Linked DNA regions of Alligator mississippiensis. Each later gene encodes a partner of the first gene's protein in a complex. Links are inferred from orthologs where the notes say so. Each region holds a gene or a part of one and is shown in the gene's direction. Other genes may lie near its edges.

The links.
Region 2: the proteins of CRHR1 (region 1) and UCN are in contact, whole or in part, in a cryo-EM structure (PDB 6PB0), measured with the Homo sapiens proteins. The link is inferred for Alligator mississippiensis from reciprocal best matches to the Homo sapiens genes CRHR1 and UCN. Residues at the interface, in NP_004373.2 of Homo sapiens: Leu106, Asn107, Glu109, Lys113, His117, Val120, Asn123, Trp169, Val172, Gln173, Ser177, Pro178, His181, Gln182, Thr192, Tyr195, Asn196, His199, Phe203, Phe260, Gly261, Lys262, Pro264, Tyr270, Tyr272, Gln273, Met276, Ile277, Tyr327, Phe330; in NP_003344.1 of Homo sapiens: Asn84, Pro85, Ser86, Leu87, Ser88, Ile89, Asp90, Leu91, Thr92, Phe93, His94, Leu95, Leu96, Arg97, Leu99, Leu100, Glu101, Leu102, Ala103, Arg104, Thr105, Gln106, Gln108, Arg109.
Region 3: the proteins of CRHR1 (region 1) and CRH are in contact, whole or in part, in a cryo-EM structure (PDB 6P9X), measured with the Homo sapiens proteins. The link is inferred for Alligator mississippiensis from reciprocal best matches to the Homo sapiens genes CRHR1 and CRH. Residues at the interface, in NP_004373.2 of Homo sapiens: Lys113, Tyr116, His117, Ala119, Val120, Asn123, Trp169, Val172, Gln173, Met176, Ser177, Pro178, His181, Thr192, Tyr195, Asn196, His199, Phe203, Phe260, Gly261, Lys262, Tyr267, Tyr272, Gln273, Met276, Ile277, Leu280, Tyr327, Phe330, Phe331; in NP_000747.1 of Homo sapiens: Glu156, Pro157, Pro158, Ile159, Ser160, Leu161, Asp162, Leu163, Thr164, Phe165, His166, Leu167, Leu168, Arg169, Glu170, Leu172, Met174, Arg176.

Annotation. Positions count from the first base shown.
Region 1 is NC_081827.1:156,223,162-156,230,476, forward strand, and holds the start of CRHR1 (corticotropin-releasing factor receptor 1), read left to right. Parts: upstream 1-4,315; 5' UTR 4,316-4,393; coding exon 4,394-4,444; intron 4,445-7,315.
Region 2 is NC_081824.1:181,990-187,181, forward strand, and holds UCN (urocortin), read left to right. Parts: upstream 1-4,213; 5' UTR 4,214-4,225; coding exon 4,226-4,501; 3' UTR 4,502-4,667; downstream 4,668-5,192. Other genes in the region: protein Mpv17, read left to right, coding at 285-380, 1,608-1,640, 2,074-2,126, 2,736-2,805. UniProt on the Homo sapiens protein: Acts in vitro to stimulate the secretion of adrenocorticotropic hormone (ACTH). Binds with high affinity to CRF receptor types 1, 2-alpha, and 2-beta. Plays a role in the establishment of normal hearing thresholds.
Region 3 is NC_081826.1:64,349,839-64,355,779, forward strand, and holds CRH (corticoliberin), read left to right. Parts: upstream 1-4,956; 5' UTR 4,957-4,980; coding exon 4,981-5,415; 3' UTR 5,416-5,416; downstream 5,417-5,941. UniProt on the Homo sapiens protein: Hormone regulating the release of corticotropin from pituitary gland. Induces NLRP6 in intestinal epithelial cells, hence may influence gut microbiota profile.

The DNA of each region.
Region 1 (7,315 bases):
TAATGTCTCAAAATTTTCCTTTGTATCATTCCTTTTAATGGAAGTGCCAATATAATATGCTCTTCAGGAACCCAAATAAATAACTTGCATGATGCCAATGAGCCCAAAATATATACAGGAATTACTTTGCTTGTTCCTGAAATGCAACAAACTCTGGAGTGGAACAGAGGTGTTTTATCTGTGCTCAAAAAAACTGAAAGATTTACTCAGAGAGGTGTAGAAAAATTCTGCATCTGGTTGAAAATGCAGACACACAGTCCAGGTAGGTGGCATGTCATTACCCACTTTGGAATCTGACTAGGAAATCATCTTGTCCTGGATATGGGGCCATAGGATCACATGTTTGGTTTCTTTGGGGTTTCAAATAACATCTGTCAAAGCAACTCTTAGCACCTATTTGCTTTCTTGACAGAATGTGAAGACTTCAGGCCTGATTCTCAGGAAATCATCCACCGAAGTCCATGAAACTAGGGTGAGGAGAGTCGAGTTCTATCTACAAGTTTTCCCCAGGCTGCTGCATCTGTGTCTCCCCTACCACCCTATCAACTGTCCCTTTTCTACTAAAATCCTACTGGAAAGTTAGGTAAGAATAGTACCCTTAGACCTAGAGGTAGACAAAGGGGCATGCTGCCTAAAGAGCCTCTAGAGTGCTTAGATTAGCACACACCCCACTGATTTACCTGGCTCTCCCGAAGGGAGGGGAGGGCGAGCTGCCAGCAGGCAGAGCGGTCCCTGTGCTGTGTGTGCATTGGGGAGAGGGCTGGTGCTTCCCTCCACAGCAGGGGTGGCTCCCCGGCTTCCCACCCCCACCAGGTGGCAGTCCCGGGGGGCACCGCAGCCAGGGAGGAAAGCACCAGGCCCCTGCAGCTCAGCCAGGCAGGCGGGCTCCAGGAGTGGGGAAAAAATAAGATCAGGCTCACCGGGCTGCTGCCAGGCTGCCTGCAGGGCTTCCTACAGAGCTGTGGAACTGCATGGAGCCCAGTGCTTTGCTCCATGGTTGTAGGGGCAGCAAACTAAAACTCCTTCGAGGAGTTTTAGTTTGCTGCGCCCCAAGTCATTTAAGGCATATTACACCACCAAATTTCCTACAGCAGCTAGAATTCACGTTCAATACACTGCCGAGGCATGCAAACACCGACACCATTAAAGCGATGCAAAAGCATTTAGCCGGCTTTAAAGTGTTATGCACACACGGCTCCTCCCAGCCCTGGGACTCCTCCTGAACCTCCTCCCAGCTCCTCAGCAGCCCTAGTAGAACAAGAAGCATAGACAGCCACCAGAAGCATAGACAATCCCCAACATTAAGCGTTAAGTTCCTCTCCCTCTAAAAATACCTCTGCTTGAGAGTAGGGAGGAGGAATTGGGACCTCAGGAACCTAGCGCAAAGTTGCAAGAAGTGCAGTCATTTCCTGAGAATTACTAGCCAGGAGAAGAGAATCCAATATCTCCTGGCCCTGAGTGGAGGAGGGGGAAGTTTGGTCCAGCAGGAAGAGTAAAAAGGCAGGCTTGCCAAGTGATCCAGGACTTTGAGAACTGGTGTTCAGCTCTTTGCTGCATGACCTTGGCTCTGGCACCTAGGCTAAGATCCTGCAAAGGAAACAAGGTGCCTAGGTCCTGCTCCACGAGGGAGTTTGGCTTAGTTTCCTTGAGGATCTCAATTTAGTCTCACTGGCCCTCTAGCTATTGCCATGGCAGGACTTCCCGGCCCATGGGGGTGGGAGGCTAATTATGTCATTGGGGAAAGAGGAGTCAAACAGACATCTTGCGCTGTAAGGGGTCCTGGCTCCATACCACGTGCTTTCTGAGATAGCAACTTCCCTTCCCTGTGTTCTGCTCTCCCTTAAGCAAAACCAAGCTGATAATCCTGATGAAAGCTCTTGGGGAGAGCAGTGGTTGAGCCTATCATCAGCAAAGGGCTTAGCAAGCCTCAGGGAATGGGCTGGTACACAGCTGAGCATCGCTCGGGGGTCCCATACAAATCTACGGAGGCACTCACCTGGGCTGAAATGCCTGGAAAGCCATGCGTTAGAGCCTCAGCCTTCGTGTTTGAAAGAGACGAGTTGCTATGGAAATCTAACTGGGGCTGGACAATCAGATTTTAAAAGACGTTGGCAGGACATCATTTTTCCTCAGTTGAAGAGGCAGGAAAAGGGTCAGGGCCTGTGGGCAAGCGTCAGACTATCGGCATGAATAAATCAAAGAGCACTGACCTTCTGTTTACCTGTCAAGAGTCCTTTGCACCCCTGTGTTGTTCCAGATCACAAGGATTGGCAGGAGCAGGATTGGAAAGGATTAGGATCCATCCTGCCCATGCTACATGCTGCCACACAAGACTTTTATCAGAAACAATGCGTTGCATCAAAGACAAAACCCATAGCATCAGGTAGTTGTTGCAACAGGGTGTAGGGGGAGGACTCCCCAGTTTTTGGAGTATAAGGGATTGACTTCAGTTCAATTACACCCACAGTGGAAGTGCTCAGAAGGGAGGTCCGAGTGGTCACTTGCAGTTAGGTGCAGGGCAGGCTGTCCCCCTGCTCAAAGCAACATGACTGAACTAAACCTCCAGGAAGGTTTCCCATTCACTCCTGTGCAGTTTCTGGCACACTTACTCACCTTGACTTCTCATTACTAATTTAAAAAAAAAAAATCTTGCTGACTGGTTGGTTTTCCTCCTGCTGAATCATCCCAGCAGGTACATTTAAAACTGCCTTCCCTGGGGCTGGCTCCTTCAAGCCCAAAGCAATGCTTGTACAAAGTCTGTGTAGTGCCTGCAGGTGTCTGCCCTCTAGCCCTGCACTAGCACAGTGGTGGCAGCATTACTGCAGAAAATCTTAGAGGGCTTTCCTCACCAGGCAGGACAGCCCCAGATCCTAGTAGAGGAGATGCTGCCAGAAGAAAAATGCTACCGTCTAAGGGCCCAAACCTAGCTGTACCACGGCAGGCAGCATCGCCACCCAAGGGGTGCCACAGAGAGCTGGATGGTACCAGGGCAAGGCAGCAATATCTTGGCATAGCAAGGGGCAGCATTAGTACCCACTGCTTGAAGATAATGGAGTCGGGTCTCCCCTCTACCCATTTCTACCGGAAATTACTCAGTCCAAAAGTGCTGGGCAGATGCCTCCATCAGCTTTGTTTCAGAATCAATTTGGGAAATTATAGCAGGCCCAGGAACAGCAGGATTCAGGCGCAGAGACGGCTGGGCACTGACTTCATTCTGTGGGCAAGTGACAGGAGGCACACAGCCAGCACCCCCTGGGCCAGGTGCCCTCTCTGTGCCATGCTGCAGGCACACTTCCCAAGGCCTGCTGGAGAGGCGAGAGGGGCCCAATGGTTTTATAGATTTCATACATTCGAGCTGGAAGGGACCCTGGAGGATCATCGAGTCCAGACCCCTGCCCAAGGGGCAGGAAGTCAGCTAGGGCCAAAGGATCCCAGCAAGATAAGCATGCAAACGTTTCTTAAAAGAGTCCAGGGGAGGTGCTCGCACCACCTCCCGAGGGAGTCTGTTCCAGGCCCCGGGGGCTTGGACCATAAAGAAGTTTTTCCTTATGTCCAGTGTAAAACGGTCTTGGAGGAGTTCACAACCATTACAGCAGGACAGGAGAAAGCCAGGACTCTTGGCTGCGCTGCCCCAATGTATCCCCCCTCCCACTGCCGCAGCTCTTCAGAACGGGAAGGGGCAGCACCTGCCGGGGAGCGGATGTCCACGGCGGGGCTGGACCTCATCCTTGGAGCTCAGAGGGATGTAAAGGGCCTTGGGGACAGGTGATGCCCAGGCCCACCAAGAGGCTGGCAGGTGACCCCCTAGGTGCCTGGGGGCTTGCAACAGGCCTATATAATTCATCAGGGGAGGGCAGCAGGGAATAGGAGACCCGGATGGCCACAAAACCCACGGAGAGCAGCTTTAGCTTGGACATCAGGAAGAACTTCTTCACGGGCAGGGCAGGGTGGCCAGAGTCTGGGATGTGCTCCCAAGGGAGGTGGTGCTCGCCCCGACCTCTTCAAGAGGAGACTGGACAGGCACCTGGCCGGGTCCCGCCCGGGGCAGGGGGGCCGACTCCATGACCTACCAAGGACCCGAACATCTCTGACTGAGAGGGCAGGAGGCTGCGGGGCGGGCTTGCTCCAGGCCAGGGCAGGCAGGAGTCCTGCCGGCTGCCCTGAGGAGGGGCGGGCCGGTCTCGGGCGCTGCCCCAGCGGCTCCCGCCCCCTGCCCGGCCGGCGGCGGGGGCTCGGGGCGCGGGCCGGGGCCGGCGCGGGGCTCGGGGGAGGAGCGGCGCGGGGAGCTGCGCGGCGGCGGCGGCGGCGGGCGGATAAAAGCAGGCGGGGGCCGCGCCGCACCGCTCGTCAGCCCGACCCCTACCTCCGGGAGCGTGGCACGAGAAGCCGCAGGATGGTGCCCTGCACCCGGCCCGGCCTCTTCCTTCTCCTCCTCCTCCTCCAGGTAAGCTGCTCCCCGCGCTGACTTTCTTTCAGGAAGGAGCAAGCCCAGGCCGGGGCAGCCGGTGCGCTCGGCTCCCGGGATGCGCGCCGCCGTGGCCGGGGGCAAGGTCCGGGCGGCTTCTTGCCCTCCCCCGGCCGCCAGAGGAGACGGGCAGCGGGGGCGAGGCCGTCCCAGCTCTCCTGCCCCTGCCCCGCTCCTGTCCTCTCGCCCGGGCAGCCAGGAGAGCGGGCTGGGGGAGTCCTGGCTGCAATGAATGGGCGAGCAAGAGCTCGCAGCACATGACAGTTGGAAGAGACACCTCGTTCAACCCCTTGCCGCAAGCAGGACCGGCCCCAGCTAGATCATCCCACCCAAGTCCAAGTTCAGGTCTTACAAATCTCCGAGACTTGAGCGATTCCCCCCGTGTCTCTGCTCCAGTGCTTTGCTACCTACCCTCCTTGCCAGTCCCGTTGCTACATTCAAAGGCTTTCCGAGGAAAATGCCCTTTGGTTTCAAGTGCTTTGACTGCAACTTGAATCTTCCAGTTCTGTCAGCTGCAAATATCTGCGCTGGTTGGGCAAGGATTGTTTCCCCCCCTCCTGAAAAGTTTAGGGTTTCTGTTGAGAAAATGCACAGAGCCAAGGATTTTGGGGGAGTTGCCAAATACAGGGTCTTACTCAAATGCTGAACACTTTTTTTTTTTTTTTTTTTAAACGAAGGCAGAGATGGGCTTGAAAAATGTTGGCTCTTTGTTTTTAAAAAAATGAGTTGCCAAAGACATGTCAGTTCTGGAAGACTGAAGTGGTACTATCTGCATAGTTAAAATGACAGAAAATGCAGAGGTTCAAGCTCCCTTAGCACCTTTACTACCTTGTGTTTTGCATCTTGCGGGGATGTCTGAGGCTATCCATTTTACAACATGAACAAGAAGCAGCATTTAGCTGCATGTTTTTAACAGAAAAACACGGTAAAAAGCCCTACGTAAGGGCCAGTATTTGCCAGTAAGTGTTAACATTCGTATAACATCGCTTTTGGACGCTTCTTGACTTTGTTTCATTTGTCTTATCTGTTCATTTGTCTTATCTGTGTGGCTGAAATACTGCATTCATGGAGTTTTTCAAAATTAAATTCTATGGTGGTGGTTCTGCTTTCTGTTAATAAAATGATGGAGATTGCTGCTTGTGCATAGGGTATGCATGTCCATAATCTTGTATTTGGACCTTTTGTCTCCATTAAATAGGTGTATCCTTTCCCCATCCCTTCTTCCAAATACTAATTAATTTTGGCCAGAAGCCAGTCCTGCAGAATTTTATCCTGAGCATTTTGTTAAACTGAGATCAGTTAAAAATGGGCATATTAGGTACCAATATTTCTAGTACTGTCTGTGAAAATAGAGATGAGAGGAAACCAAGCTCACTGAGAAAATGATATATCAAGGCACCTCCATATCTAGGGTCTTGGTGGTTATCTGAACTGTACTGCACTTCAGATAACTTCCAATGGGCCACCCTAGACACTAGTTTTCTCTGCCCATTCGAGTGTGCACCTTCCATAGTTGCTATTGGGGATGGCCTCTCTGTGCAGAAAGACCAGGAGCTTGCTACCCTTGCCTAGTGTCTAGGTAGAGTTAACAGTTCTCTATGGTCTTCATGGCAAACCAGGCACATACGGCTGCTTGTGCTGCTCAAGTCTTTGCCAGGTTTGGGAAAAAAATATGTGACCCTCTTGCTCTGCAGCTGGGAGTAGTCTAGAACCACTTCTGATGGGGTCTCCTCAAGAGATACATGCCTGGTGCCACCTCCGTGGACTGAGTTTGAGTTCATCCAGACAAAAAAATACAACTGATACCGAATGACTGTATGACCAGTCTCACCTGCACTAACTAGCCCCACACCAGAAAACATAAAGGAAAGGTAAACACAGGAACAACTTGTAGATTAATTTAACAATTATTTGCTTTTAATTAAAACCTTGCTAGAAGTGCAGATGTTCCTGAGGCTCCATGAAAGCCACTGGGTACTTTCCTAGTACTCCCAGTCTTGCTTGGAAGTCACTCCATTACCATAGGCATAGGTGGCATTGAAGAAAACACAAAGAATGTGTCTGTGTTGTGGTAGGCATCCAGGTTGTAGCCATATTGTTCTAGAGGAAAAGGCAATCAGAACTCGTAGTAGAGATTTATATCTTTTATCACACAAACAAGATTTTTGCAAAAAAAAATTCTTTAATTGCAAGCTTTCGGGCACAAACACCATTCATCAGGCATTGGAGAAAAAACTGTAAAAGTTCTCTTGGGTAGAAATTAAAGTTCATATTTCATAGAGGACTCCATAGATGGAAAACTCCTCTGGGCAGTCAGTTCATAGCTGGTATGAAGCCTCTCGCCTCCTGTGAGGATCTGCAATGATGCAAATTACCTTGAAACAAAGGCTCAGGTTTCAGGTGGTCACAGTGGCTTCCTGCTTGGGAAAAGATGAAGATTTCATTTTTTATTTTTTTTTAATTGGCTAAAATTTGATATCTGTGTGTCGTATCCAGGTTGTAGCCATATTGGTCTAGAGGAAAAGGCAATCAGGACTCGTAGTAGAGATTATATGTTTTATAGATGAAATCTATATTTTTATATAATAGAGATGATATATAATATAGATTTTATCTATAAAACATCATCTGTACTGTAAGTCTTGATTGTCTATATTGTGGTTGCATCAACAGCTGCATGGCATGTGGTCACACACCCAGCTAGATTGAGAGGAGCTAACTCGGGTCCCTATCACAGTGTATGCACAGAAGCAAATTTCTCATCGTGAACTAATTTATCCCCCTTCCTGCATGAGTTTTGCAGTCTGCGTTAAGCTCTGTGCTGCTGTAGCTCGAATGTTACTGGTAACC
Region 2 (5,192 bases), on another chromosome or scaffold:
TGGTCCCATGGGTGAGGGTGCATCAGGCACTGCTGTTGAACTGCCTCTCCCAAAACCACTTCTGTGATGGCTCAGGCCTCAGGGCCCCCAAAACCAGTGCAAGCAACTCTGCTAGGGCTGATGAGCCACATGTGCTTAGCCTGAGGCAGCCTGGACCCATCCCCTCACTCCCCCCACTGCAGTGCTCCACGGATCCCCATTACCCGTCTGCAGGGGGTGGGGCCAGGGCACAGGGATGCTCTGGGCCAGCCCTGCCCTGTGGCACTCACCCACTTCCTCCACAGGCTGGCTTCGCCCCGATCTTCCTCGGCAGCTTCCTTGCCGTCGCCGGTGCGGTCAACAGTCTGTCTGCAAAAGAGAACTGGGAAAAGATCCAGCGAGTGAGTCCCTGGGGCTGTGCTGGGGGCAAAGGGCTGGGCCCAGCCCCTTTTCATTCAGTCCCACAGGTGCTGAGGCAGAGTGGCCGCAGTGCCCTGTCCATCCCTGTCCTCTGTAGAGGCAGCCTGACCACTGCAGGGTCTTTCCCTGACCTTGGCAATGCGGACTAGGAGGCCCCGTCCCCATAGTGCAGGGAAGGCCCCAGTGGGGGTAATGGGGAGGCTCAGCAGGGGCATCCCTTGGCCCCATAGCAGCAGGGACAGGTACTGGGCATTGGTCCCATGGGTGAGGGTGCGCCAGGCACTGCTATTGGCTGCCTCTGCCAAAGCCATTAGTGTGATGGCTCAGGCCTCCAGGTCTCCCAAAACCAACGCAAGCGGCTGAGTCAGTGAGTCTGGGTGTGATTCACGGCGGGAACAGGTGACCCTGGTGTGAGTCATAGGGCCAACAGTGTCTGTCCTTCCTGGCATGGCGGGAGAGTGGGTCTCCCTGCCTGCGCCCTACAGCCCAGCACCCCCCAGTGGAGTGGACTGCCCCCAACCTGCCCTGCCAGGACAGCATCCCCCCTTGGCTGCTGCAGCAGGCAGGCAATGGACATCAGCGCCCTGGCTGGCTGCAGGCTAGCGAGCACAGCTGCCCAGGGCACTTGTCCACTGAGAGCTGTGGGCAGAGTCCCCATGTCCCCAGGGGGGCCTGCCACTCCTACAGGCACTCGTTGGCAGAGTGGGGGAGCTGAGGTCCTGCCTGCTGCACAGAGCAGCCAAACCTGCAGGCAGATGGCCTGCCTCGCATAGGGGTTGCAGGGCCAGGGCGGTCCATCTTTACCCTCTGCCCTGGGGCATGACCCTCTGGGGCTGGGCTGTGCTGGGCTGGACAGGGGACTTCAGGGCAGGGCATCCCCCGCACCCAGGTCTAATCATGGCCCCCAGGTGCCAGGTACTTGGGAATGACCCGTTCCTGCCCATGGCTCTTACACCCCCATCCAGAATCCAGACCTGGGTACCGAGAGCTGGGGGCTTGGCCCACACAGCACAGGGGGTGGGGAGCGCTTTGCTTGCCACAGGCTGTGTGGCAGCTGCAGCCACATCTTAAGCAGCCATTCATTGGGGGCCATAGCAGGAGCCCTCATCCCCCACATGACCTCTGCAGGCCCCTGGCCTTGGGCCCAAGGGGGGCAGGGCTTGCCCAAGGGGCCACGTGAGCACTGACCAGCCCTTCTCTGCCTGCAGGACTATGCTGATACCCTTGTCACCAACTACTATGTAAGTGCCTGGGGGAGGGGAGGGGGGTTGCGCCCAGGTGATCATGGAACAAGTGCTTAGATCTGCACAGCAGGAGACTGAAAGCTGTGCCCCCACTGATGCACGCTGGTTTCCAGTGGGCTGGCAGTGCACCCCCTGCGCTGTCACATGCAAGGCCCAGCCCACCTTGGGGCTCATGCTTAGGCAGCCAGAACTCCCCACCCGCCCTGGCCCCCAGTGGGCCTCCTGCCCACTGCCCCTATCACTGGACTCCCAGCAGAAGCTTGCAGTGGGCTTTACCCAAATCCGGTGGGGGGTCCAGGGAGGTGGGGTAGGAGCCAGTGCTGGGGTGGGGGAAATGGGCAGGAGGGGAAGGGTATGTGGCGGCAGCCCTGCCCTGCCCCAGGTAGGGTGAAGGCCTCTGTACTCCTCACCCGCTATGCCTGTCTCCCAGATCTGGCCGGCAGTGCAGGTTGCCAACTTCTACTTCATCCCCCTGAACTACAGGTATGAGCAGGTCACACTGCACCCTCCCCCTGCTGGTCCAGCACCCTCCTAGCCCAGGTGCCTTCCCCTTCCTGCACCCCCTGGCCCTGTCCAGGCCTCCAGGCAGAACAACCCCCACACATCCAGCTCCCCTACCCAGCCCAAAGACCCCAGCATGCCTTGTACCCCGTGCAAGTCCCCCCACAACTGCCCCTCCTTCTACTGGCCCAGCACTTCCCAGTTGCCCCTGTGCCCCTGGCCTCCGGCACTATGACCCTGTCATAGTGCTGTTGCTCCTTGGACCCCCCAAACCATGCCCCAAGCCCTGTGCTCTAGCCTACATGGGGGGAGGGTGGTGTCCTGGCACCTACTGTACCCCCTCCTGCCCCTGCCCCAGGGAGATGTTACATCCTGAGAGTGGGGGTGGCTTGGGCTTGTCCCACTGGGAGCCTGGACTGTTGCCTGGGCTGGGGAGAGGGACCCTGACCCTTGGAACATCAGGGCAGGAGTCTGGACCCTTCCCCACCAGCTCCCCTCCCTGCATGGGCTGGCTTCCCCAGGACCCCAGTTTGCTGATCTGACACAGGACTGCCCTACTCTGACCTCTTGGTCCCTCTTGTCTGCCCTCAGGCTAGCCGTGGTGCAGTGCGTTGCCATCATCTGGAACTCCTACCTCTCCTGGAAGGCGAACCAGCCATGAGCCCCCAACACATCCCACATGGCTGCCCATGCTTCTCCGGTGACCCCATGGCCTGGGTCCCGCTCCCTCTCCCACCATGCTGTGCTGGTCCTCAGGGGTCGTCCACAGCATGGAAGGGGCTGGGAGCCCCATCGCAGGTCCACCCCAGCCAGACTCATCAAAGAGGCAGCACAGGGCCCAAGGTGTGGCACCACGACTGCCCCAGCACAGGCCTGGCCCCAGCCCTGACTGAGCCCAAATCATGCTGTGGAGGGAGCTGTGCTGCCCCACCCGCCCCTCCATCCCTCTATGCAGGGCTATGCTGAGACAGCCCCACTGGGGACAATAAAATGTGGTGGATGAGTGCTGGGTTCCTGTCCCTGTGTCCACCCTGGGAGTGTCATGAACCGTATGCAGAACCTGCAGTGAAGGGGCTGGGTGCTGCCAAGGCTTTTGGAGACCTGGTCCCCTTCAGCTCCAGGCACCATGCACAGGGGGACACGGCGGGTCCAAGCAGGTGTCCCACTCCCTGTTCCAGCTGACATGGCACTGCAAGACAGGGCTCAGGGCATCGCAGCTGGGGCGCGGGTGGCCGTGGGAGTCCCTTCTTCCGTGCCTGCTGCGGACCACTGGGCGGGTGTCCAGCACCGCACCCCGCGCAGCCCCAGTCGTGGGGGGGGACAGGGGGGCACCCAGGCCAGGCGTGGGGTGGAGCTGTGCTGGCCGGGGTGGGGCCGGGCCGAGAGGGGATGGGGGGTGGTGGAGGCCGCGCTTCGCACACTTCAGCACCGCGGACAGCGGAGAGCGCCGGGGCCGGGGCGGGGCGGGGCGGGGTCAGTACGGAGGGGTGCAGGGGCCTACGGGGGCATCTCCTCGAGGCCGCCGCCCCCGGGCGCTGCCCTTCCTGCGCCCCCGGGGCCCCGACAGCCACGTGGAACGGCTCATAGGGCGCAGGGCAAAGCCTGCCCCTGCGCCCGGGGAGGGGGTCCCCGGCGGCAGCGCCCGGCCACGCCCGGCCGGACCCCGGGCTCCCGCCACCGCTCGACTCCGCGGCCGTCCCGCACTGACGTCAACGGGAGCTCCCGGCGCTATAAAAGCCTCCCGCCCGTCGCCGCCCCGCGCCGCGCCGCATCCCCGCCGCCGGCCGGACCCGCTCCGCGCTCCAGGTCTCCAGGTAGGGTCGGCCGGAGCGGCGCGGGAGGGGCGGGCTGGGCTGCGGCTCCCGGGGCAGCGGCACCGAGTCCCGGCGCCCGGCGGGGAGCTTGCGGGGCTGGGCGCCCCGGCGGGAGGCGGGGGGCGAGAGTCAGCCACTCGGTGTCCCGTGCCCTGCGCCCGCCGGGCAACTTCAGGTGGGGCCTGGGGCCGCCGCTCCGGGAAGCTGCCCGCCACCCGCCTGCTGCGCCTAACGCCGCCGTGTCCGCAGGTCCCGGCCGTCCCCAGCATGAGGCAGGCACTGCTGGCGCTGCTGTTGCCGTCGCTGCTGCTGCTGCTGGCGCTGCTGCCCCCCGACGGCGCTGCCCATGGGGACTCGGGCCGGGAGCGGGAGCCGGGGCCAGGGCCAGGGCCAGGGCCTGGGCGGACGCGGCGCGAGGAGCCGCCGCTCTCCATCGACCTGACCTTCCACCTGCTGCGGCACATGTTGCGCCTGGCGCGGACGCAGAGCCAGCGCGCCCAGGCCGAGCAGAACCGCCTGGTCCTCGACGCCGTCGGCAAGTAGCGGCGCCGCCCGGCCTACAGGGCCCACGCACAGCGAGGGGACGTGCCCGCCGCCCGCAGCGTCCCGGGAGCGGGGCCCGCGCCCCTTGCCTCCCCCGCGCCGGGGCCGGGGCTGGGCTGGAGCCGCGGAGACGCCGCGATTTTCTAATAAAACGTGTTGGAAACCCCCCGTGTCTGGAAGTCTGCGTGGGGTGGGCGCAGTGCTGGGGCCGGGCCGTGGGGGCGAGGATTAGGCGGCGCGGGACGAGGAGCCGCGGTCCGAGTACGACCCCCCGCCGGGCAGCAGCGCGGGCGGGGCCTGGACTTTGCGCGGCTCGGGTGTGTCACTGCCTTCCCTGCCTCTGCCGCGCCGCGCTGCTCCTCACTGGACGGGAAGGGGTTAAGCGGGCACCGCAGCGCCCCGCAACTGGCGGGGGGGGGACAAGAGGGACTGAGGCCGCAGGGGCTCCCCCCCGTCCCAGGCTGCGTGAGTCACCGCGTGCGGGGCAGGCGGGGGCAGCGGCGGGGGCAGGCGGGCGCTAATTGCGGGCAGCGCCCGCGCTCGGGGCTGTTTGCTCAGCGCGCGGCGGTAATTGTCTGCGGAGGCGGCCGGGAGCAGCCGGGCTGCGTGCGGGGTGGGCCGGGGCGGAGCGGGGCGGCCCAACCCATCCCAGCGGTCCGGGAGGAGGGAGCGGCGGGCGGGCAGGACGCGG
Region 3 (5,941 bases), on another chromosome or scaffold:
GCAAGGTGCTGCAGCTAGGGAGAGGGAATCACCAGCACACCTATAGGCTTGGGGATGATCGTCTCAGCAGCACAGCAGCAGAAAGAGATCTCGGAGTTGGGAGATAACTAATGGCAATTGGGATACAGAAAAGGAAACTACTTAGCTGAGGTGAAAGCAAAACTCAAAGGGGTTAAAGCATTCAATCTGGTGTGGGGATGAAGCAGATAAATTCTATCCCAGAATTCAGAGAGATCTGTGCATGAAATCAAGTGTACATTGTTTTGAAAGCCTGGTAAAATTGGGAGTGGTACCATGAGACTGGAAAATAGCAAATGTAGTATCTATGTTTAAAAAGAAGAGAAGGAAGTTATCTAGACAACTACAAGTTCGTTAGTTGGACCTCAATGGTATGTAAAGCTTTAAAACAAGTATTGTTGGGAAGAATAACTGAAGACCTGAATGATAAAATGCAACATGGATTTACCAAAGGTAGCACCAAAGGAGCTAGACTTAGCCAATATCTATCTTTTATTTAAAAAAATACTTTTGAGACAAAAGAAGTACCGTTGATCAAATCTATCTGAATTTCAACAGAACATTTAATATAGTGCCACATGTGAAATTATTATTTAAAACTGAAGTAGTAGGGGATTACCAGAAGAATTGTAAAGTAGATAGGGAATGGGCTAAAGGGATGATGATAATGGGTTATCCTGAAAAACAAAGTATTGGGATATACATAAGTTACTAGTAGGGTTCCCCATGGAGTGGTTTTGGGATTGATCTTTTGGGACATGTTTGTCAATACAAACATGGGTTGGGATATTGCATAGGATGAACTGAATGATCTTGGAAACTGGTGTATTAGAAATGGAATGAAGTGCAAGGTCACACATTTAAGCACTAATACACAGATTTTTAAACTGTTTAGATCTGTTTAGATTTTTTTACATACACTTGGAGCTCATTGATTGGAAGTAACTAAAAAGAATAAAGATGTGGTACACTAGATGATCACAAACTGACTATGAACCACCAATGTAAGGCAACTATGAAAAAGACAAATTCAGTCCAAAGATGTATCAGATGAGACAGTTCCAATAGAGACAGGGAAATCTGAGTGCCATTGTACAAGCTAAGAACTCATCTGGAATTCTGGTCACCCTTCTTCAAGAAAGATGAGCACAAATGGAAGGTCTAGGAAAGGAAATGGAGAGCCTGTCTTACAGAAGGTCACAAAGAGCATTTGGCTTGTTTTAACCAAGGATAGCCAAGCCTCAACTGAGATATGGTTGCTCCTTCTAAATATTTCAAGATAGAAAATACCAGGGAAGAAGACCTGTTTAAGGGGCAATACTATCACAAAAACAAATAGGTATAAACTAGTGATGGATGAGTTTAGGCTGGAATGAAGAAGACTTATAGCCATCAGAGGAGTTAGGGGCTGGAACAAGAGCTTGACCAGTTTATGGAAAAGTTTATATGACATGGTTGCCTGCAGTCAACCTGGGTTGAATGATCCAGGAGTTCCATTTCAGTCTTGTGTTCCTGGATGTATATCTAACTGGAAAATTAAACCATTTCCAAATCAGATATGTTTGATCATTTCATCACTGTTCTTGTTAATGACTCCCTCCCTGCCTTGTTAAATAAGATCCCTAATTCAGAAAAGCACCTGCTTAAGTGCCTTCAACTTGGGGCAAGTTTCCCCTCAGGTATGCACTGAGATCAGTTGAATTCTTCACATAATTTAGCCACTTGTATTTAAGTTTCCTGTAGCCCTACTCTCCCTCAAATGGAGGCTGCAGGAAAGAGATCGCTGGAGATGCCATTCATGTAAATGACATCAGAATTGGACTTGAGATGATTTTATAAAGGAATTTCAGATCCCTCGCCAAGAAAAGCCTGTACCTGTAGGATCATGCAAGGAACTGGGGAAATATTGGTCAATAGCTTTTTTTTTTTTGTAGCCAGTGATCAGTTCTGGGTTTTTTTTTTAAGCTCTCTGCAACAGGCAGGGGTTTCTTTAATATGTTTGTATTGCCCCTTGATATCGCCTGTAATTTCACGAGCTGAAGATGCATTCAGTTTAGAGACTTTCCCGGTAGAGAATCATGTCTCCTTTTCTACCCCGGGGTTGAAGGAACAGAGGTCTGAACCTGATGCCCCGCACGTGCGTGGAGCCCAGCACTGTCCAGTGCTGAAGTGCTTCAACACTGCTCTTGAAGTGACTTGTAGAGGGAGCGTCTTGATTACATCTGACCCCCTGTTACCGTCGTATGCAGTAGCTGCCTAGAGCACGCGATAGATTTTCTGACCTCTTTTTGTCTATTAATCTAACTCGGTAAATTGCTTAACCTCATAAAACAAGGCTGTTCTCACTGGCAGTCCATTACTACAAGCCAAAAGGACGGATCCCCGAGTAAGAGCAGCGCGTCTCCCTTTCTGTCAATCAACTGCAGCAAGTTCAGCGACGTTTCTCTCTCTCCCCAGCCCCTCTTTTTTTGTTATCTGGCCATGAATCTATGCATTCCTCTTTTGTCTTGTGGGTGGGCAGCAGCCCCTCTTTTGCCCGTGCCCGGGCCTGGATCACTAACCTTCCCAAAGAGCCCGCCTGAGTTCTGCTCGCCCGGGTAGGGAAGGCTTGAAGAGCTCCTTTGATTACTGCACAGTAAAACAAGCGAATCATCAAACACAATAGGATCATTTCCATCTAGACAACTGCCAAAAGAGGCAATTGAATGCGTTTTATCAGCCATTCATTCTCGGGGCTTTACATTCTAGGCGGCAAAACCAAGCGCTTGTGGAGCTGTCAACATTTATTGAGCAGGAAAATGCCAGCACGGGGTAGAGAGGAGGCGACTCGGGATATGTTCTGTTTCAACTAGGGAGAAGACAGACAAGGGCAGGGAAGTGCGGAAGTTTCCTATAAATCCCGCTGTCATTCCATGCGGGCTGCACTGACTCACTGTTAATGCAGGGATCCGCACTACACGGGGCAGGGAGACTCGAAAGGCAGGTGCAGCATTTGCCAGTTTTCTGAATGAGCCGTCTGTCTCAGCCTCCTGCCTGCTGCCGGGCTGCCAGTCCCGGGTCGCTTTCATATGCCAGGGCAGTTTCCCTGCTGATGTCCCTGACAGTGAGAGTCCCGGAGCGGCAGCATCACCGTTGCCACTTGCCAGCGAGAACACCAGGACAACTCAGCCCAGCCCCATGTCTCTGGTGTGTCCCAGAGCTGGAAGGGACCAGATGTGTTATCTCCCCAAAGCACAGCACTGCCTCACCAGGGGCATCTCACTTCTGCTCCCAGCGCATCGGCCCCACTAATCTAAGTGGACCCTGTGTTATACCTAAGGGGGGCTGGAGCAGCGAGATCTGCCGGCTGCTCCACGGAGCTTCACATCTCCCACCTCTCCTGTTCAGACACCGGTGGAACAAATTTCAGCCCCTGCTCCTGGCTTTTCCAGGGGCTGGGTTATTTCTTGTGGCTTGCCAGGAATTGGGGTTCTTAGGCGTTTTCACGCTTAGAGCCATCGGAGGAGCGCTGTCTCGGTGGGACGGGGTGTCTTGGGACAAAATCAGCCCGTCCCAAGGCTTGGTGCTAGAGAAAGCTTCGCACCTCCTGCTTACAAGTCGGCTTGGGCTGGGAGCGCCCAGCTCAGGCTGGGACCTGGACTGATCAGGTCCCCGCTCTTAGATGCCCTGAAATGGACCAGGGCTCCTAGAAGGGCTTTTAGATGCCCCGAAATTGACCAGGGCTCTTACATGCCCTTGCCTGGCTCTGGGGCCGGGCGGCAGCCTCCAGAGTCGTGCCCAGGCGGGACTCGAGTGGAAAGTTTTCCCTCGCTTTGACCTTTCATAGTAAGAGGTCGGGCGCTGCTGCCGCTTTTCGCTCCCCTTGGGAAATCTCATTCAAGTATTTTTGTCAATGGGAGAGAGCCCCGCTCCGCTGTCTCTGTCCCGGGGCTGGCTGACGTCACCAACGAGGCGATAAATATCTGTTGATATAATTGGATGTGAGATTCCGGGCTGCGATAGCAAAACTCTGCCCATCGCGGCTCCACGCGGGCCCCCATGATTTATTCAGCAGTGGATCGGGGCACGCAATCGAGCTGTCAAGGAAGCGTCAGCTTATTAGGCAAGTGCTGCGTGATTCCAGAAGAGGGTCTAAGCTATAAAAATCCCGCGTCCAGGCTCTGATTGGGAGAAAAGCTGATCCCAAGTTGGCGAAGAGACGGCTCCGAGCACGAGGGAAAGGAAAGGACCCCTGAAAGCCCCCAAGTGTGGACTGCACCTGTCCTCCTCACCCGCCAGGCCAGCTCTCAGGTAGGCGGAGGTCGGCCCCACCCTGCCCTGGTGCAAGCGGGGCAAGAGCCTGGGCGTGTGTGTTTGCTTATGTGTATGTGCATATATGGGTATGTGCCTGCATGCGTATGTATGTGTATGTGTATATATGTTCATGTGTGTGTTCGCATGTGTATCCGTGTGTTTGCATATGTATGTGTGCATGTGTAGTGCATGCAAGTGTATGTGTATAAGTATGTGTGTATGTTCGTATGTGTATCTGTGTGTGTTTGCATGTGTGTACGTGCATGCATGTGTGTGTATGGATGTATATGTGTGCGTGTGTATACGTGTGTGTGTGTGTGTGTGTGTGTGTGTGTGTGAGAGAGAGAGAGAGAGAGAGAGAGAGGGAGAGCGCGATCTAGGCGATGCCAAGGAGCCCGCAGAGCCAGGCGCTGGGCCGGGGGTTTCCTTTGCCTGCGGACCCTAGGGGCCAGGCCGCCCCGCGTGGTCATGTCCTAGCCCGGGACTTGCCCCGCGGCGGGGCGCGGACCCGCGGCGGGGCGCGGGGGGAGGCTGTGCGGGGGGAAGGCGCGAGCCCCGCGCGTGGGCGGCTGCGGCGGGGCCGGGCCCGGCTTCAGCACCGCGGCCAGCGCCCGGCCCGCCGCCCCCCGCTCCCCTCCCGCGTGTGTGCTGCAGGTCGGGGCGCTGACCATGAGGATCCCGCTGCTGGTGTCCACGGGGATCCTGCTGCTCGCTCTCCTGCCCTGCCGCGACGGCAGAGCTCTGAGCCGCGCCCGGCCGCAGCAGGAGCTACTCCCGCCGCCGCCGCCGCCGCCGCTGGGGCCGGGGCCGGCCGCGCTGCTCCGCCTGGCGGAGGAGTACGTCCTGCGTCTGGGCAGCCCGGGCCGCGGGCCGGCCTCCCCCGCGCCGCCCGCCGCCGCCGGCCCCTGGCTGCGAGCCCCTGCCCCGCGGCCGCAGGCGTTGCCCGAGCGCGGCGCCGCCCGGGAGAAGCGCTCGGACGAGCCGCCCATCTCGCTGGACCTGACTTTCCACCTCCTGCGGGAGGTGCTGGAGATGGCGCGGGCCGAGCAGCTGGCGCAGCAGGCCCACAGCAACAGGAAACTCATGGAGATTATCGGGAAGTGAGCGGCGCCCGCCGGCCCGCGCCCGCCCCGTCCGCGGCGGCTGAGCGCGTCCCGGAGCGCCCGCGGCTGCGGCCCTGGGGCGCCTATTTATATTTGTAATAAAAGCTGCAAAGTGGCTCCGCCTGCCTGGCCTTCCTCCTCCTCCGCGGGCAGCCGGGGGGCGGGGGGCAGCTCCGCGCAGGGCATCGGTGCAGCGCTGCCGCTGGGGCCGGGGCCGGGGCCGGGGCTGGGGTCGGAGCCGGCTCTGGCCCCCCTTGTCCTGCAGACCCCCGGGCTTACTTTACAGACACTACCCTACTGCCGCAACCCACCCCCCGGGCACGGCCCAAGGAGCTTCCTGGCACTGCCTCTGCCTCCAGCTGAGCCCCGATGCAGCCAGGGTCCAGCCCTGCTGTTCTGCCCCAAACGGGCCCGAGAAGGAAGGACTCCTCACCCCACCCCGTGTGTGCCCAGGGGGCAGTGCCCTGACGGCCCCAAGGACGTGGATCGCCCCGCTGGGGCATGGGGCAGCAGGCTGCAAGGAGCTG